Linked DNA regions of Anolis sagrei. The protein of the gene in region 2 interacts with the protein of the main gene of each other region in a pairwise test. Links are inferred from orthologs where the notes say so. Each region holds a gene or a part of one and is shown on either strand. Other genes may lie near its edges.

Region 1 (10,849 bases), on a different chromosome or scaffold from region 2:
CTATACACATTAGACTGACCAACAATATTTCAACAGGGCTAGAAAATGGGTTGAAATAGATCTTAAAAAATCACTGTCATCTAAAAGCTGCTGAAGTTGCACAATAATCCCGCACCTCAGTTATTTTCACAGTAAGTAAAGAAAATGTAATCTAGATTTTCTTGGGAATCTGTTGTGGAGAATGGGCACTTGTTTCCCTAATGTGCAAGGGACTACCCATCAGTCACAACTCACTACAGAACAGTAACAAATGGATCACATACATAAGGACCACCGTGCAGGCTCTGAGATCTGCCAGGGAAGCCCTTCTCTCGGTCCCACCACCGTTCCAAGTATGGTTGGTGGGGATGAGGGAGAGCGCCTTCTCTGTGGTGGCTCCCCAGCTCTGGAATACCCTCCCAAAAGAGATTAGGTTAGCCCTCACCCTTGAATCCTTCCGATCCAGCCTAAAAATATGGATTTTTTAACAGGCCTTTCACCTTGAATAGACTGAAATGGGTGTATGTGATGATTGCTTACACAGTCTGGCATTTTAGTTCATTAACTGATGACAACCAGTTTTATCCACAGATAATACTGTATTTTATAATTTTAACAATTTTATTATTATGTGATGTTATGTGTGCTTGTTGTGGTTGCTGCAATAGTTTTATGTGTTACTGTTTTCATACTTAGGTGGTTGTTTATTTTATATGCAGGACTCTGGGGGGCTTTTGTGAGCCGCCCCGAGTGCCTTTCAGGAGATGGTGGCAGGGTATAAATAAAGTTTGTTTATTTATTTATGGGTTACCATGGTCAATAGAAGGAAACAGCTACCTATTTTCAGGTTTGTATACTCATCTCTTTTAACTGGGGAATTTCTACCCCCTTGCTCAATGATAAGAAACAATGTGGTCGAAGAGCAAGCAGACAAACAGAAGGATGTAACCCTACAATTATTTTATCCATGTCCTATAGACTCTAGAATTAAAAGTCATCATCTGACACCAGATCTTCCTTTTAGACATTTCTTTAATGCTGTGCAACTCATACAATGATGGACAATCCACAGCTAGATTTCTGAGATCTCTTGCCTATTTATCCCATCAAAAGTTATTTGCAACTGCATCTACCCAGACAATACTAATTCATTTTGCATATAGATAAACTTACCCTTCTGAGCTAGAACACTAACCTTCAAGTGTATGCTGCAGTTCTAATACTTGATTAATAAGACGTGTTTTTTCTTCCAATTCCACTTGATTTTCAGCCTCAATAGCTAGAATAAAAGAGATAATCTTTAGAAGAGCTAAATTTTATAATACATAAGACTGAAAACACAAAGAAAGTAAAAATGCTATCTACCATCCATATCTGAATTCATCATTGTTGAAAAGATCTTATCTGTTCTTGAACACCGTATGTCAGTGATGTGTCCTGTTTAAAAAGAAGAAAATAGGATCAGTGGTATGCACACAGAGTCTGGTTTTTATTCCATGATTTCAATGGGTAGCATCTGCATTAACATTTTGACTGTGAAAAAAGCAGTCATTTTTTTCTGTGCAGGTTCAGTGACTTTTTCAAAAGACAGTGAATGTTGAGGGCTGACTATACGTACATATACACATCACCTATCAAGAGAATTATAGAACATTTCACTTTCCCACCACACACATCTTCAGTACAGTTCCCCCCCCCCCCCTATTTCTCAAAGGACAATGCTTTCCTGACATTAGAATAACAGAATAATAAAGTTGAAAAGGACCTTGTGGGCCAGCCAGTCAAACTTCTGCTAAGAAGCAGGAAAATCGCATTCAAAGCACCCCAAACAGATGGTCATCCATCCTCTGTTTAAAAGCCTCCAAAAAAGCCTTCACCACATTCCGGGGCAGAGAGTTCTACTGCTGAACAGCTCTCACAGTTAGGAAGTTTTTTCTAATGTTCAGGTGGAATCTCGTTTCCTGTAGTTTGAAGCCATTGTCCTGCATCCTAGTCTTCAGGGCAGCAAAAAAACAAACTTGCTCCCTCCTCCCTATTACTTCCCCTCACTTATTTATACATGGCTATCACGTCTCCTCTCAGCCTTCTCTTCTGCAGGCTAAACATGTCCAGCTCTTTAAGCCGCTCCTCATAGGGCTTGTTCTCCAGACCCTTCATCATTTTAGTCTCCCTCCTCTGGACACATTCCAGCTTGTCAACATTTCCCTTCAATTGTGGTACCCAGAATTGGACACAGTATTTCAGGTGTTGTCTGACCAAGGCAGAATAGAGGAGTAGCATGACTTCCCTGGATCTAGACACTAGATTCGTATTTATGCAGCCCAAAATCCCATTGGCTTTTTAAGCTGCCAAATGACATTGTTGGATCATGTTTAACTTGTTGTCCATGAAGATTCCATGATCTTTTTCACATGTACTGCTGTCGAGCCAGGTGTCCCACATTATGTATTTTTGCATTTCATTTTTTCTGCCCATCATTTCATCACACTAGAGAAAAAATCCACTTAAAATCTGGTTCTGCCTCCTGCAAGAATTTGGAGGTTTGTAGTTTAGTGAGGCTGTTAAAGGCTCCTCCCTAAACTACAAACCCCTCATCTAGTGTGATGAGGGCTATTGTGGAGTATTTTGCATTTGTCCCTGATGAAACTTCATTTTGTTAGTTTTGGACAATCGTCTCTCTAATCTGTGAAGATCAGTTACCACCCATGAGGATTGCTAGATGCCAGATAAATCTAGTTTCTGGTTATTAAGAGTTACTATCCAAAATAGCCCTAGCCTAGCCTATGCCACACCATAAACTTTGTACTGACTTGATATTAATATTGAAATACAATAATTAATAGCAAATCGATAAAGAAAAACTGAACTTAATGTATCAGTTGGCCCATGCCTGGTCTACTGTATGTACTGTACTGAACGTATCTCTTCTTATGAACCATCTAGGAATCTAAGATCTTCTGGGGAGACCCTGCTCTCGATCCTGTCTTCTTCACAGGTTTGGTTGGTGGGGACGAGAGACAGGGCCTTCTCAGCAGTGGCCCCTCGGCTGTGGAACGCCCTCCCTAGGGACATTAGATCGGCCCCCACCCTCTTAACATTTCGTAAAAAAGTCAAAACCTGGCTTTTTGAGCAGGCTTTCTCAAATGCAGTGTAGCAGACAAACCCTGATTTTGGAACGACTGGACAATGCAATTAGATAGTGCAAATGGATAACGATTTTGGTAAGCAGACATGGAGGATCTATGTTTTTATCAGTTTTATTACTTACTGAATTTTATTTATTCTAAATGTTTTAACTGTTTTTATGTTATTGTGGGCATCGAATTGTGCCGTTTTGTAAACCGCCTTGAATTGCCCTCGGGCTGAGAATTTACTATATAAATATAGTAAATAAATAAAATAAATACTGTATTTGTGTTGGTCCCTTTTTTCCCTTTTAGCTGCTTCCCTCCATTGAGACGTAGGCTGACCATAATATCAATGCATTTAATCAAACCTCATCCTGAATGAGATCTAATTTCTAGATGAAACAAATGTGAGTCAAAAAGATGGATGAAGAGAAAGTGGGGAGGAAGACACTTCCTTGAAGGTGTGAAGGGCCTGAAAGATGCCACAAATGAATGCAAGGCTTTACACACAAGACAGGCTGACTCCTCTTCATCCTAGTCTAAAGCCTTATGCAATCAGGGAAGAAGAAGAAACAACCTTCTCCCTTCCAGGGCCTTCCTTGAGCATCCCAAGAAGGAAGCCTCCCTGACAGTATGTGTCCCCACCACACTGGAGGGTGGGGGATCCTGTTTTTTAATTATTGCTTTTGTTAATCTACCTATCTATTTATTTATAGGCTTCTAAATGACATCTAGAAGTCGACCCCCCTCCCCCCACAAAGCATTCCCACCCAAACAGCCCCAAATCATTCGATTCCTTCTGTTGTCATAAGCAGCTTCCTCCATCCCTCAGGGAGCCAAAGCCCTCGCCCTTTTGCGCACGCGCACTCACCTCTCTCTCTCTCTGTCTCGAGGCCTTTGAGCGCGCGCGCCCGTCACCTGCCCAAGTGACCCTCGGACCCCGTCCAGCAGCGCCTTTCCCACCAGTTCAAAAGCGGTCACTGCGCCTGCGCGGCTATCCTCTTTTGGCCCAGGACCAAACTGCGCACGCGCCATGCGTCGATGAAAACAACCACCGAAAAGGGTTGAGGATGGGCCCACCAATCACAGCGAAGGAATGACCGACGGCTTTTCGCAGAGTAGCCAATGAAAAGAGGGGACTCATCGGCCGACTCGCTTCCAAAGGCATCCCGCCGGCTGTGGGCGTGGCCTGTCTTTGCCGGTTTGCCTGGCGCTGCTGGAAGCGGAGGAAGGAAAACAGAGGGGGCGGGGCTTCTGTTACCGCCCTTGTCTCTTTTCCCTTATGAGAGTGTCAACTCTCGCGAGAGTTGTAAGGTCTTTTTAGATATTGTTTTCCCATGCATTTTAGAAAGGGACAGGCTTTTTATTTAGATAGGCTTGTAAAGATTATTGTTTACTGCATTTCTATACCGCTTTTCAAGGTTTTAAGACCAATTCAGGGGGTGCTGTGGTGTTTTAATGGTTTTTAACTAGGAAGAAAACAGGGTATTAATAATAATAATAATAATAATAATAATACACAATATGAGGATTTAAAGATAGAACTGCAAAGACTCTGGCACAAGCCAGTCAAGGTGGTCCCAGTGGTGATCGGTATACTGGGTGCAGTCCTAAAGACCTTGGCCTGCACTTAAAAACAATCGGCACTGACAAAATTACCATCTGTCACATGCAAAGGGTCACCCTACTCGGATCTCCACACATTATTCGCTGATACATCACACAGTCCTAGACACTAAGGAAGTGTCTGACGTGTGATTAAATATAAAAGCCAGCGTTTTTCAATGCACAAGCGATCCTCTGGCCCTAACTCCAACAAAAGTGGGGTCTACTGTGCTTTATAAGTTGAATCCCCAGGGAAGGAATGGAGCCATTATAAAACAACACTTCCAGTCTCAGGAAAACATCCTAGAAGGCTACCATGGTCAATATTATCAAAATTATTGAGAGACCCCGCAGAATTTGTGGGGATTTGTAAAAAAGCACTATGATGCAATGGGTTGACTGGAAAGGCATGTGGATTGGCTGAGTATGCCAGGGGCCAGAATTCTGGTTGACTGCTGTCTCTGGCTTGCTGCTGAGACAAACTATTTGAACTGCCACTTTCACCTTGGAGAGTGAAGAGAGCGCTGCCAACTCTCTGAAGCCTGATCATTTCTAAGGCATGAAGCATATTTTAAAGACAGTTGAAAAGGACTGTTTATTCCCTCTGTTCTCTGTGTGAGAACAGAGGGAATAAACAGAATATATATATAGAGAGAGAGAGAGACAGACAGACAGACAGACTGCTCTATGTGTGTGTGTGTGTGTATTGTTGCTCTGTTTGATCTTTTGAACGGTAGTAAAGATATTGTTACTTGTTACACAAGCCTGAGTGACATTTTATTATACTGCAGGGTATATTTTGGTTCAGAAACAGTGGTAAAGCTTCTATTTATTTATATCTACAACTTCCAACAGAAACACACACTCTTGTCTGGTTTCTAATAAAGATAATCCACCAAGGGAATAAAATCTTTTCCTGTCCAACAGTCAGGCATGAAAACAGGTTGAAATGGATCAAGATAATCCATATCATCTAAGAGCCCCTGGATCTGGGAGGCTGGTGGTACTAATGCTTGCAGCTGAACAATATTTGGAGAGCTACATGATTTGCAGGATGTGTAGAGAGACTGTGTCACAAGCTTTGCCTCCAGTGACATCGGGATCTGCATTTCTTCTGTTTTAGAAAGGAAACACTGACACAAATATGTTGCCTCAGAAACAGTGGGTAGATCCTTAGGCACTTTAATAGGAATGTTCTATTCTAATAATAGAATATACTTAGAATTCACCCACTGGCATTTAATTCATGACTAAGTAGTCATATTAGAGTATTGCATCAAAATCCGAAAAACAAAGTCGCACAATACCTTACAGACTCACATATATTATTTTTTGCTAGCAGCTGCTGAATTTATCAGATGCATTAAATGAGCCCTTGTGCTTAAAAACATATTACAAATTAATGTTGCCCGTTTAGATCTAACCCAAAAGTTTACAAAATTACTTCATATTAATCATGAAAATATTGCTTTAAGATAGGTCAATCGGCAGTCTAAAATCCCAAATGGAGGGCAATAAGAACCACTGTTTCCATTCCACATCAATACAGTAATGCTCACTGAACATACAATAAGCTTGTGCATCACTGAACCTAGTGTAGTTTATTTGTGGGTAAAATGCATACTGTTGAACCACAGAAGATCTATGGTGCTAAGCACCAGCACTATTGGAACCTTTTGCATTGCAAGGCAGAAATAGACAACACAATATATGGGCAATCACTTATACAGAAAAAGCCAGCTGACAATAGTTGTCCATGCTCAGCTCTCAAAACCCACAATTTAGCAAATATTTCAATACAGATTCTAGAGCTAAATGCAAGATATTGTCAATGATTGAGTTAAAATTAATTAAAACCATGTTTTTGCTTTTAAAGGAGCATAACATAGCTTTGGCAGCCTTCATTAAAGTGGTAGTTGAGATGGAAAAAATATAAAAAATACACTAAAGAATTGTATACTCAAAGAAACTGCTTTGAGTCCCCCTAGGGGTGGGAAAAGCGGTATATAAATGCTGTAAATAAATAAATAGTGCAAAAAGTGCATATTAATCGGATCCCTGCTGTCAAGATATAGTAGGACATGGCATTTGCTGTTGTTCCCCCCAGTTGTGCCTATCTATTATACTGGAACTCACATGATCTATAGTACTGTGACACCTGCACCCCTCTTCTACATTAATTGGCCAGTATAAAAAAAAGTTATATTAAATCGATTCTTCGTTGATATTGAAGACTTCCACCACCACCCCATAAAAGAGATATATAGTTTGACCTGTGAGAATTATAGTTTTCCAAACAAATTGGAGATAGCCCCCCATCCCTACACCTCTCCTCGAGTCTCCCAAGGACCAGCTTAGCCCCCATTTTCTCACCCCCGAGCACCAACATGCAGACTCCCACCCCCATCTCAGCTGTTCAATCTGAGTTGGGCTGTGGAGTGGATCTCTGCATGGCTAGCTGAGACCGCCCAACTGGCTTCCCTTTCTCTAGCTAGCCACATGAAGACTTGTTTTATTGTTTTTATTGTCTCTATTGTTTTCATATGGTTTATATTTGGTGCATTAAAATAAAGTACACCTATGCATCTGAACTCAAGGAGAATTGGTATAAAGCATTTTATAGATGGTATTTTACTCCGGAAAAGATATCTAAGTTCAGTAAAGTTAAAATTAGTGATGTTTGCTGGAAATGCGAAAGACACAAAGGAAATTATTTTCACATGTGGTGGAATTGCAAAAAGATAAAGAGCTTCTGGCATTAAATTTATAAAATAATCGGAACGATATTAAAGGTAAAAATAGAGTTTAAGCCAGAGGCAATGTTATTAGGGATCATAGACTCCATCTGTTGGGGTTCAGCCTGATCTGTGTGAATCTGATCTGTGTGAACCTGATTCTCTGATAGTATTTCCAACTGAGCAAGCCACTGAACATGTAGTTTTCCCTGACAATGTGGAAACTGGTGTTGATGCTGAGTTCAGTGGCGGGGAAAACAAAACTGAACAGCCAGATGAAAATGTTTTGGAATCCAGCCATGATAGCTCTCCACCTGGGTTTTTTAATGAGGACCGACGGGAACAGATAATGAGAGACAGGAGTGATTCACAGTTCCTACGAAGGTCAAATAGATTACAGGAGAGACAGGCTCAGGCTTCAAAGTCAAGGGGCGTTTCAAGGAATAGTTTCTTTGGTATAAGGGGCCGCCTGCCGGGTGCCTCCTTAGATCAAGCAACGTTTGGGACTGTGGCTGTGCCTTGGCAGAATTCCTGTGTTCCATTCCCGGTAATCCCAGAGGCTTCTAGTTTTTCAAGTACATGGTTAGCGAGAGGCTAACAGGTTCCTGGTTCTTGTCTTGTGTGTTTTTGGACTTTTGCTCAAGTTCAGAGATTTTCCTGACTGCTGTGTTTCTATGGTGGCTTTTTGACTTTGCATTTAACTTTCTTTTGTAACCATTTTTTCAGCAATAAAAAAGGATTGTTTTTCCTACAGTCCAGTGTGGTGGATTTAATCTTATGGTCTCGTTTCTTGGTCTGGGATGCAACACCATCAAAGACAAAAATTCAAAAAAAATATTTTTTTATTTTACCACAGCGGCGAGAATAGTAATAGCCAGAATTTGGAGATCTAATAAAACCCCTACAGCAGAACAATAGCTGTTAAAAGTATGGGATATTATGAACATGGACATCTTAACTCAAAAAATATCACAGAATATAGCGAAACTACCCAAGACAGATTGGGGAAATTTTCTGGAGTATATTAAAAACTTAAATAAGGAAATTTGTATCAGTAATCTACAATGAAGAAACTCAATGGACCATCAATGGGAAGCCGACGACTTATTAATAAGAATAAAAGACAACAAAGGGACTATTTCAGACAACAAACTTCCCAATTACCTGCCCAGGGAACTCCTGGAAGTATCTTAACCGGCACCCCCCCCTCTTTTTTTTCCATTTTGTTTCCCCACCTTCCTTGTTCTTAATTCTCTCTTCCCACGTTTCCAATCTTTGCTGAAAATATTGTTCCCACTCTTTCCATGTAAATATTATTTTTTTCCAATTTCTTTCTTTCTTTCTATCTGCTCCATCTAAGGAGCAACATATTCCAAATAATTTTAAAAAAAGCCAAAGAAGCCAAAAGATGGTATAGCGCATGTGCAAAAACGTCTCCCCCTGGCAAACAACACATACAATAGTATATCCACACTGTCTTCTGGACTACAGCTCCCAGCATCCCCTAGACCTGGCCCTTTAGGAGAGGAGGATGATCCAAATGCACTGCTTCCAAACTGCAAGCTTTCTTCTTGGATTTCTTTGAGAGCATTCCAGTCCCTGCATATTTCCAATTTTCTATTCCTGGACTGCAATTCCCAGCAATCCTCCAGATAGATAAGGTAAATAGACTAGATAGAGATAGGACTGCAATTCCCAGCAATCCTCCAGATAGATAAGGTAAATAGACTAGATAGAGATAGGTAGGTAGGTAGGTAGGTAGGTAGGTAGATCAATGAGGAGGACTGCTGGCAGTTGCAGGCCAAGAATAGGTAGAGAAGGAAGAAAGGGGAGAAAGAAGAAGGGAAAAAAAGAGGGGAGGAGGAAAGGAAGAGGAAGAGAAGAAAGGCAGGAGAGAAGAAAAAAGGGAAGGAAGGAGAGAAAGAAAGTAGAAGAGAAAGAAGGAGGGCAGGTTGGCCACAGCAATGTGTGGTGGGTACAGCTAGTGTTTATATAAAAATATCAAGTAACCCAGAATATGAGGGGATTTACGCATGATCCTGAAACTTTCTGTCGCACAGATAATATAATTAGAGTTGCTACAAGCTGTTTGCCTTCAGAAAAGGCCTTTTTAAACCCATATAATCCTTTTTAATCCCTGAAAACATGCATCCAGTACTGGGGTTGTGACTTTGGAATTTGCCAGTGACACTCTCCTATTGGTTGCAAATTGTTGCTAGAATGAAGAAAATCTTTGTCTCCGCACCAAGACACGGTCTGCTGTCTTGATTGCAAAACCAACCTAGCAACTAAGAGGTCATTTCAGGCCCCTGGCATGGCATGGTTTCTATGATGCTGTCAGAATGCACCACTTCACCTAATTTCAGTTGATTTAATTTAGGGCTCAAGGAAAACAACCAGCACGCTGCAGTTTGTGATAGTAAGAAAGAAACAATGTCTAGGCTGTTTCTTTCTTTCTTTTTTCTCTCCACTATCCTCTTTTTTAAATAAGAAAGAAAGAAATTTAAATCTCTTTGAAGTTCATAAGCAGAATCTAATAAATTGGCTCAATGCCTTCATTTGAATGAACAAGATGTAATATCCTTTGACCCTCTTGGGAATTATCATGCAAAGCCTAGTGAAAGACAGTGGTTTTAAAACCACAAGTAGGGAAATGTAGTGTCAGGAATCAAGATACAGATAGAGCTGTCTTCTTCTGCTAATTCCTTTCCCAGCCACACAATTTAGCTCCAGACATACACGACATTGTTTCTACATCTTTCATGGGAAATACATAAATTAGAGTGACACTGACTCATGGAACTCTCCGTTTTTAGTTTCTGTTTTCTTTTTTTGGTGAAACAATATTTGTTGGAATTATGTGTAGATCTCTGTGGATACATGATAATAATATTGATAACTTTAATGTTTATATTTCCCAGTTTTCATAGCAATGCTGCCTAATGAGACATGCCACATTATCACAGGATGTTCTATGCCCAACACTACCGGAGAAATTGTACTGTATAGCCAGTGTTGCACCACCTGACATCCACCGGGAAGTAGCAGACAGCAATGGATGGACCAAGGCATTGATATCTCCAGCTCATCCTCTGTTCAGATATCAGACAGCAAGCCAATGCCTTAAATGAAAAAACAGCTTCCAAAGATCTACAGAGATATTCGCAGGAACACCTCAGCAATCGAGAGCCCAAAAGTGGCAAGTCAAAACCCAGAACCTCAATCAGTGGCTGATATCAGATGAGTAAATACTTTCTGGGCACACAGAAGGCTGGGCGATTTGGAAGGCACTGAACAAACTGCGCTCTGGCATCATGAGATGCAGAGTCAACCTTAAGCAATGGGGATACAAAATGGAGTCCATAACATGCGAGTGTGGAGAAGAGCAAACCATAAACCACT
Region 2 (10,269 bases):
TTTCCACTCCTAAGCTAAATAAGCCCAGTCTGCAAGAAGCCTTGCCTGTATTGCATTCTAGTCTTAATATAGTTGTACTGGATGTTCTCTGCAGACCAATTTAGTTTGTACTCAATGAAAAAAATGTAGTTTACAATCCAATGTTTTTTTTTAAAAAACTCTCCCTTGGACAAAGTAAAAGTCAGCAGTCTTTTTAATTTTTTTTCTTCAGTTATTTCTCTAAAGAAAAAAAACCCTAGGCTGTTGGATGAATATCATGAACTTTGTAAACGAGCCTATTATTCTCCAATATTTAACCAGGAATAACAAAAGGCTTTGATTAACAATTGGTAAGTTCTAATGAGAGTTGACTCAACAAATCAATGAAATGTACATAACTATGGATTTATCATGTTTCCACAACTTTAATGATTGCTCAGTTATTTAGCTGATATTAAATGGTTAATGAATAGCTGCTTCCTGAATAGCTCTCACAATCAGACAGGTACAGAAAGGAGAAATATTTGCGCTGCTGGAGGGGTAAGTTCACACAGTTCAAAGCTTGGTAGATCCAAAATTGTCCCCTGGTTCCAACAGCTTAGATCTAGTGACAGTTCCTCTCAGCTGAAAATGCTATTGCTTAATTTCAGGTCAGTTATAACATGTTCAAGTCTAGAGAAAGTGTAGTTTAAGTTTAATTATGATTTAGAGATTCAATCTATAGTTTGAAGCTAACTTATTTTCATTAAGTATAATCAGAGTTAATATCTGTTTGTTGATGTTCAGGCATAATAATAAAATATTGTTTGATTATCACTAAAGTAAAATATTTTTATTTTCTCTACACATACATTGTGGAGGAGGTGCTTTCTAAACATTCTAAAGGAAGTCTTTTAACTTTTAAGAATTAGGTGCCCTCACCCTCAACTAAATGGAATGTGCATACCTGATACCCAGTGAATGTGTTAAGACGGAGGATGCAGATGGAGAATTACAATCAATCAAACAAACATACATTAGTCAAAAATAAATTCAGAAATCATAAGGTCTACCAGGGATTAGTAAATATACTTCTTGCTAAATCTGTTTTAGCAAACTAGGGGTGCACCCAAATGGTAGGATAAATGCCATTTGGTATTCCTTTAGCTGTCATGGTTCAATGCTATCAAATCATGGGAGTTGTAGTTTCTCAATGTCTTTAGCCTTCTCACTAACTACCTCAGCTTTTATAGAATGAGATGTTCTGATTCTCATGTCAGAGACCCTGACAAAGACCAGAGATAATCCTGGTATTTTCTAGAAAATGAGCACATGTTCAACCATATACAGAACAGCAACTGTAAGAAAGCAGTGAAGCAAAAAAGGCACACATACTTTTATCACATTTGTATCCCTTAACTGGGTATTGGGGTATCTGTCACATATATTTTAAAGAGGAAAGATATGGTGCAATCAGAATATGAAGAAATTTATGGCAATAAACTTCACTAGAAGGTGAGGCAATCTTTTTCTAAGCCACAATTCCAAGCAGAAAAGACAATACTAACCCCCTTTTCAGAAAGATTCAGTGTTGGCAAGTGGAGTGTTCTGGTATGGGAAGATTTCCAGTCAACTGGCAAGACATTGCCATAATTGTCAGTCAGAGCGTTCCAAATCCTGAAGACAAAATTTAAGTAATAAACATCCAGCTTTCAAAGTATACAGCAATCACTATTCTAAATGTCATAAAAAATACTATCAACAGTATACATTTAAATACTTTGGTTAGAGGCACCCCAAAGCTGTCCCTACAGTACACATTGTTGGTCTATCTACACCAGTGGTTCTCAACCTGTGGGTCCCCAGATGTTTTGGCCTTGCACTCCCAGAATTTCTAACAGCCGGTAAACTGGCTGAGATTTCTGGAAGTCATAGGTCAAAATACCTGGGGGTCCACAGGTTGAGGATCACTGACCTACACCAATTATGTCCAACCAAATTATGTACAATGCACTGCTAAATAAACTTCAAAGAAGAATTGTCTGCGATACAGGAGCACCTGTATTAGCTGCATATCCATCAATATTTGCTATTTCATGTGCAAATTAATTGTTACCAGAAACAATTAATTTTGCATCTACTGTTAGCCAAAGAAAATAATGTGTGGAATGGAGGAATCAGTCAAAATTCACTTCTAAGTTTCTTTCCTTAACTAGAACATTAAGAATTATTTTGCTGGATTACATTGTGAATGTGTCTAGTTCAGTATTCTGTCTAGAAGGGGATATTTCATTTATTATTTATCAGGGGTTTATTTGTACTCTATTTAACAAAACAGGAAATAAGTTGTATATTAGAGCACAACTCATAGATCTCTCATCATTCCAGTGCTTGTGAAGAAATAACTGAATGACAGATATGCCTAGTAAGCAAGACAGTTTAAAATATTGTGACAAACATGCATATTAAATTGTTACAGATTAAAGTTCCAGGACCATGTTTCTATGGAAACTTCACATCATTAGCTTGCAGACTCCTACACACTTAACTTGGAAGCCAAATACGCTGAAATTTGTTTCTGATTGAAAATGTCCATAACTCCACAGGAGACTAAATTCCAACACAGTCCTTTAATTTAAGACAGAAGTGAAGAAGTGAAGACCTGTCTCTTTGGTAGACCTACACTGACAGCCTTTAAACATAAACATGAATTTTAAGGCATGCCCTTTGTTTAATCTCTGTTTTAATATGTATTTCATAGAGATACATTCTGGTACGTAACTTTTATGGAGGTAATAATAATATACTTTAATTATAACCCGCTGTATCTCCCCAAGGGGACTCAGGGCAGTGTCCATGCAAAAAGTGGCAAACATTCAATGCCATAATAAAAAACCAACAAACCAAATCGAAACAGCATCAATATAAACTTATAATAACTAACAAAAAATAAGCAATTAAATAAACATAATAAATCTCAACAAATGCACTTACATGGTAATAAAATCTCAATTAAAAGTATAAAATGGTTTATAGCAGCCAACAGACCCAGGGTGGGTTTCTAGTATCCAACATGAGATTGTATATTAAGGTGTTGAAGTCTTAATACGTTTTAGTGTGTGTATTTGTAGTGTTTTTGCTGTGTTTACGTATTCTAATTGTTTTGTAACCAGTCTCGAGCCATGAGGAGCAGAGGATAAGAAATAAAACTATTATTATTATTATTATTATAGGTTTTTGTAGGTTTTTTTGGGCTATATGGCCATGTTCTAGAGCAGGGGTCCTCAAACTAAGGCCTGGGGACCGGATGCGGCCCTCCAAGGTCATTTACCTGGCCCTCGCTCAGGGTCAACCTAAGCCTGAAAGCACACAACAACAACAACAACAACAACAACAATCCTATCTCATCAGCCAAAAGCAGGTCCACACTTCCCATTGAAATACTAATAAGTTTATATTTGTTAAAATTGTTCTTCATTTTAATTATTGTATTGTTTTAAAGTTATTTTTACACTACAAATAAGATACGTGCAGTGTGCATAGGAATTCATTCATGTGTTTTTCAAATCATAATCCGGCCCTCCAACAGTTTGAGGGACTGTGACCTGGCCCTCTGTTTAAAAAGTTTGTGGACCCCTGTTCTAGAGGCATTCTCTCCTGACGTTTTGCCTGCATTTATTGCAAGCATCCTCAGAGGTAGTCAGGTCTGTTGGAACTAGGAAAATGGGTTGATATATCTGTGGTATGACCAGGGTGGGACAAATAATAATATATTATTATTATTATTATTATTATTATTATATTCATTCTATAGTGAAGAGCAGGCCTGTGGCCCTCCAACTCCCATAAACCCTAGCCACTTGTCCGAAGTCCAAAACACCTGGCGGGCCACAGGTTGCGCGGGCCTGATGGACAGAGGCTAAGAGACTTCAACTCCCAGAAGCCTCAGCCAGCTTGACCGACCAGCAGGAATTCTGGGAGCTGAAGTCCACGACGCCTGGAGAACGGGAAAGGTCGGCAAGGGCTCTTTGGGCGGGGAGGGATGGCAGGGAAGGAATGGGAGAAGCGACCACGGAACGCCGGAGGGAAAGAGCCACTCACTCGTCTTCCTGCAGGGCGCTCTGCTCGCTGAGGGGCGGCGGCGGGAGCCGGGCTTCTCCTTCTCCGCTCCCTGGAGGCGTCGGCGCGGTCGGCTGAGGCGGCTGGAAGCAGAGCGGCAGCTTCGCCGCCAAGCCCTTGCCTCCGTCGCCCCAGGAGCCCTCTTCCCGAGCCGGCGAGGGTTCCGGGGCCCCGCTTCCCTCCCCGGCGGGCTGGAAGCCCGAAAAGTCCTGCCAGTCGCCTGCAGGATCCCGTTGCGAGGCCGCCATTGCGGCCGCCATCGCCGAGGGGGAGTGAGGCGGCCCGGCTACGCGCTTACGTACGTGCGTACGCACGCACAGGCTCCGCCTCAGCCATCGGGAGCGCGCACTCCTAGCTGTCACTGTCAGAGAATATAAGCCCCGCCCCCTTTTCCCGATTGCTGAGGCGGGGCTTATGCCCTTCTCTGACAGTGACAGGCGGCGCTTCCTTCCCATTGGCCCCGGTGGCGCAGAGGGTTAAACTCCTGTGCCGGCAGGACTGAAGACCGACAGGTCGCAGGTTCGAATCCAGGGAGCTCCCTAGAATCATAGAGAATCATAGAATCAAAGAGTTGGAAGAGACCTCATGGGCCATCCGGTCCAACCCCCCTGCCAAGAAGCAGGAATGTTGCATTCAAAACACCCCTGACAGATGGCCATCCAGCCTCTGCTTAAAAGCTTCCAAAGAAGGAGCCTCCACCACACTGCGGGGCAGAGAGTTCCACTGCTGAACGTTCCTCATGCGGGGACATGAGAGTAGCCTCCCAAAAGGATGGTAAAACATCAAAAAATATCCGGGAGTCCCCTGGGCAACGTCCTTGCAGATGGCCAATTCTCTCACACCAGAAGCGACTTGCAGTTTCTCAAGTTGTTCCAGACACGACAAAAAAAATGGCCTCGGGTGCATCTAAGATAGGCATGGGCAAACGGTTAGGAATTGTGGGAGTTGAAGTCCAAAAACACCTGGAGGGAGGTCCGAAGTTGGCCCATGCCTGGTCTACACTCTTAAAATTAATACAGTTTGACACCTCTTGAGCTGCCATGGCTCAATGCTATTGAATATTGGTGGGCACTAGCAGTCGTTTGCAGAGATTGTGAAATGCCTTATAAATCACAACAATTCCCACGATTCCACAGGACTGACCCATGGCCATTAAAGTGGTGTCATGCTGTATTAATTCTACTGTGTAGATCCGTGGTTCCCAACCTTTTTTTGACCAGGGACCACTCTCCTACGTTAATACCAAAAGGGTTACGAATCTGTTTTTGGTCAACTTTAGATTTAGTTTGGTTACTTGGGGTGCTGATTCAGAAAACTGCATTAGATAAACCACATCAGCTCTAGTTTCTGATACAGAACATATGCCATCCAGTAGTCACCATCTGCTCGCCCACATTTATTTATCGTGTCAGGAGTGGACCGAACAGTTGTATTGCATTAAAAAAACACACAAAGTTTGCAAACTTGGCATTCTATTAAATGTCCTTTGACCAGTATCTGGCCACTTGGGAGTGCCTCTGGTGTTGCTGCAAGAAGGTCCTCCATTGTGCATGTGGCAGGGTTCAGGCTGCATTGCAGTAGATGGTCTGTGGTTTGCTCTTCTCCACACTCGCATGTTGTGGAATCCACTTTGTTGCCCCATTTCTTAAGGTTGGCTCTGCATCTCGTGGTGCCAGAGCGCAGTCTGTTCAGCGCCTTCCAAGTCATCCAGTTTTCTGTGTGCCCAGGAGGGAGTCTCTCAATTGGTATCAGCCATTGATTCATACCAATGTGGCATGCCTCATTAAGAGCCACTGTTTTAGCCTGGTGAGTGCTTACCCACAGAAAACCATATTTAATAAGTCTTGGCACTACAAGAGTGTTTTGCGAGGCCAGTCACCCTAGTTGAAACAGTGTAGTAATGGCGAGGCCGTGGATCATATTTTAGTTCTTGTGGACTACTGGTGGTCCACGGACCGCAGATTGGGAACCAGTGGTGTAGACGCACCCTGCACTGCCAGAATGGCAATAAAGGGCTACCAACGTTCTTCATGACAAGCAGGCAATGGTTCCACTCAGGCATGTAGCCGGGGGGGGGGGGGGCTTGAGGGGCTTGAGCCCCCCCCCCCCCGAAATTCTCATGGTGAAGGCCTTAGTGGTGCATTATTTAAACTGTTATGTTTATTCATATCATGATCTGATCACCATACTCAATATATCCCATATGCATGGGGGTATTGGAGTAACGATACAAAAGGTTTGCTAGGCTAGACCCTCTTTCACTCAGACTCAGCCCCCCCCCCCCTCCCCGAATCAAAATCCTGGCTACGAGCCTGGTTCCACTTAATTTAGTTTGATCTAACCCAGGCATGGGCAAACTTCGATCTTCCAGGTGTTTTGGACTTTATCAACTGTTAGGAGTGGGAGTTGAAGTCCAAAACACCTGCAGGTTTGCCCTTATCTGATCTAACCAGTGTTTGACTGCACCATCAACAGAGTTGGTCAAACATATAATTAGCCACCTTAGTTAGGAGAAAGTTGCGATTAAAATAGAATCATACAATCATAGAGCTGGAAGAGACCTCATGGGCAATCCAGTCCAACCCCCTGCCAAGAAGCAGTAAATAAATAAAGGATATAAGTAAATAAATAAATGATATACAGATGCTTTGAGTTGCAATGGTACGTTGTGTGTGTGTGGAATATTCTTAGGAGGAAGAGGAGGATTATGATGATGATGCTGCTAGTGTGGTGTAGTGGACTCAATACTGGTCTACTGCTGCATCCACACCATAGAATCAATGCGGTTTGACATCACTTGAACTGCCATGGCTCAGAGCTATGGGACCATGGAAAATTTGGCACGAACGCCTGTGATTCCATATCATTGAGGCACAACAGTGTGAAACTAATTTGTAAATTTCCTGAAGATTTATTTACTTTATTTCTATACTGCTTTTCTCAGCCCTTAGGTGACTCACATTATAATAATTATTATTTCTGTCTTTATGAAGAGCCCACATTGCAAAGTATGAATTTTGAGTAGGTGTGAGTTTATGTTCAACTCATAAAACAAAAAGTTTTCCACCCATCAGATAGAGGACATCCCTCATAGTAAGGGACTAGCCCTAAAAGGGACATCTGCATCATAAGTAACACCTGGCAACCCTACGGCACAGGATGAAACCTCAACTTATTTCAGTCTTCTCTGTTGTGCTGTTTGAATGGTCTTCCATGCAATAATCATTTGTAGGAATGTTTCATAGAATTTATCACATTTGTGCCTGGAAAAGAGTATATCTCCAGCATTGCCTGGATTTCCATTTTCTTACATTATTTATTATAAACTAGTGTATGTACCTGCTGTTGCTCCACTGTTGTTGGGGCCGCTGCCCACTTAATTTTTCTTTTCTCCATCTCTGAGAAGGCTTACCTCACAATATCGCCATGCTATAGCAACAGTGGGAATGCTCTTTGTCGCTCTTTCATCCCTTATACATGTCATCTTTATTTCCCAGTGACATCACAGGGTGTCACTTCACCTAGCAACAGCAATTCAGTAATATCACAAAGGGCCACTTCACCTAGCAACAGCCTTTGTGATACATACATGCATACATTGATATATTATATATATATATATATTAGGGCTGGGCGGTTTCGTTTCGTAATTTCGTAATTCGTTAAAAATTCGTTATTTTTTTTTATAACGAAGCGATATTGAATCATTCAGGAGCAACTAAAAAACGAAACGAATTTTTCCAATTCGTTTCGTAATTGATTCGTTATTGATTCGTTATTATTTCCGCATGTCTGGTGCAAGTTTTAGGGTTGCTGTTTGTTTTCTCAGTGAAAAATATATAATTATCACACCAACAGTCAACAACAGAGGGAGAGGGAAGCTTCTGAAGTTTTTTTAGCGTATTGCGCGATCGTGGCCGCCATTAACGAATCGATTCGTAATCGATTCGTAATTGTTTTATGATTTCCGAAATTTCGTAAATATCGAACTTTTTTTTAAGGAAAATTTTGGAAAAAACCCCTAAAAACGAATCGAGTTCAGAAACAAATTTTTGCGTGTTTGGACAGCCCTTATATATATATATATGTATATGTATATATGTATATGCCTCTCCCTTATGGCATCCCCTCAACCTTCTCTTCTGTAGGCTAAACATACCCAGCTCATTACGACGTTCCTCATAGGGCATGGTCTCCAGACCTTTGATCATTTTATTGTCCTCCTCTGGACACCTTCCAGCTTGTCAATATCTCTCTTGAATCGTGGTGCCCAAAATTGGACACAGTATTTCAGGTGAGGCCTGACCAAAGCAGAATAAAGAGGCAGCATGACTTCCCTCGATCTAGACACTAGACTCCTTTTGATGCAAACCAAAATTCCATTGGCTTTTTAAGCTGCTGCATCACAGTTGGCTCATGTTCAACTTGTTGTTTACTAAGGCTTCAAGTTCTTTTTCAGATGTACTATTGTCAAGCTAAGCAAGGCATCATCCATGCTGTTTGCATTTCATTTTTTTCTGTCTAAGTGAAGTATTCTACTCTTCTCCTTGTTGAAACTCCTTTTGTTAGTTTTGGCCCAGCTCTTTAATCTGTTAATATCATTCTGGATTCTGATCCTGTCCTCTGATTCCTCCCAATTTAATGTCATCTGCAAACGTGATAAGCACACTCTCTAAATCTTCATCCAAGTCATTAATAAAGATGTCAAACAGCACCAGGCCTTGAACAGAACCCTGTGGCCCCCACTAGTCACTTTTTTCCAGGATGAAGAACCATTTGGTGAACAACTATTTGGTGAACCATTTGGGTTTGAGATATCTATCTATATCCATCTATCAGTAGAGATGAGAAACTCTTTAGAAAAGTTATGTATGAGTCAGAGATTGACCTCGGTGACAATCCGTTGCTTTCTCCCAACTTTTCCCATCTCTTATTTTCGTAAATTTTGTTGCTACTTGGCTTCAAATTGTTTCCAACTTATGGTGGTCACCTTATGATGTATTTAGAGTAGAAAGGAACCATCTCCAAATATCTCTCGCCTTAAAAAACTACATGTAATTCATAGGGTTGCCATGTTTTCAGGTGAATTAAAGGGACAGATACACACAAGGTTCCCACCTAAACATCAGCCTCTGCCTCCACTCCAGAACATTCCTCATCAAAAAAATGACACAAATTTCTATAAAACTGTGTGTGACAATTTGTACAGATGCAAAATTATAAATTATTCCAAAATAATACGAACAGAATCATATTGCCGCTAATGTGCCAGGGCAAGACCTGTCTGCTAATTCAGCTATCGGGGCTACAGACAGTAAACTTCAAGCTCCCCAATCTACCTCTTTATGGTTCTGTATTTTCATATCAGCCTCAAGACCACATTGAGAAGTGCGACTACTTCACAATTCACTAGTTTGAAGAGTTTTCCAAGAAAGAAAGACAGACAGACAGAGTGGTAGTCAATGGACACAAATAAGCTACAAGTGCCTGGCATGTTGAAAATTGCTGGCCTAAGATGCCTTAAAAAAACCTAAAACCAAAACAAAACTTCATTGTGAAAGCCTTTCTTAACTGAAGTATGCCTGTATTGTTTCCCATCACTTTTCCAGATGCACGACGGCAGTGCAGAGCTGTTATTTTCTTACAGGGAAGGAGAAGTTAACTTTCTGCAGCTCTTTCTTCTGTGGCCAGCAGATGGGCAAATTTGGCTGCCCTGTGCCATGTTCCAGACTCCAAGAATGGGAGCAGGGAAAGGGCTGTAGCAGGATCTCTGAGGCTGTGCTTGGCAGCTGTGTCAGACTGAATGAGAGCGAACAAATTGAAACTGAATCCAGACAAGACAGAGGTCCTACTGGTCAGTCAAAATGCCTAACAGGGCATAAGGTTACAGCTTGTGTTGGGTGGGGTTATACTCCTCCTGAAGACACAGGTTTGCAGCTTGGGAGTGATCCTGGATTCATCGCTGAGCCTGGTCTTGGCAATGGCCGGGAGAGCTTTTGCACAATTAAAACTTGTGTGCCAGCTGTGCCCGTACCTTGGGAACTCTGATCTGGCCACAGTGGTCCACGCTTTTGTTACATACCGAATAGATTACTGCAACGCACTCTACGAAGACTGTTCGGAAACTTCAATAGTCCAATGGGTGGCAGATAGATTACTCACTGGAACGTCACTGGATTACTCCATTGTGTC

Evidence for each region.
Region 1: the proteins of FEZ2 (region 2) and SCOC interact in binary tests that used the Homo sapiens proteins (3 or more experiments, as listed by UniProt). The link is inferred for Anolis sagrei from reciprocal best matches to the Homo sapiens genes FEZ2 and SCOC.

What each region holds. Positions count from the first base shown.
Region 1 is NC_090025.1:45,272,072-45,282,920, reverse strand, and holds the start of SCOC (short coiled-coil protein), read right to left. Parts: upstream 4,161-10,849; 5' UTR 4,143-4,160; coding exon 3,979-4,142; intron 1,419-3,978; coding exon 1,345-1,418; intron 1,259-1,344; coding exon 1,175-1,258; intron 1-1,174. UniProt on the Homo sapiens protein: Positive regulator of amino acid starvation-induced autophagy.
Region 2 is NC_090021.1:51,568,484-51,578,752, forward strand, and holds the start of FEZ2 (fasciculation and elongation protein zeta-2), read right to left. Parts: upstream 4,377-10,269; 5' UTR 4,338-4,376; coding exon 4,060-4,337; intron 1,636-4,059; coding exon 1,527-1,635; intron 1-1,526. UniProt on the Homo sapiens protein: Involved in axonal outgrowth and fasciculation.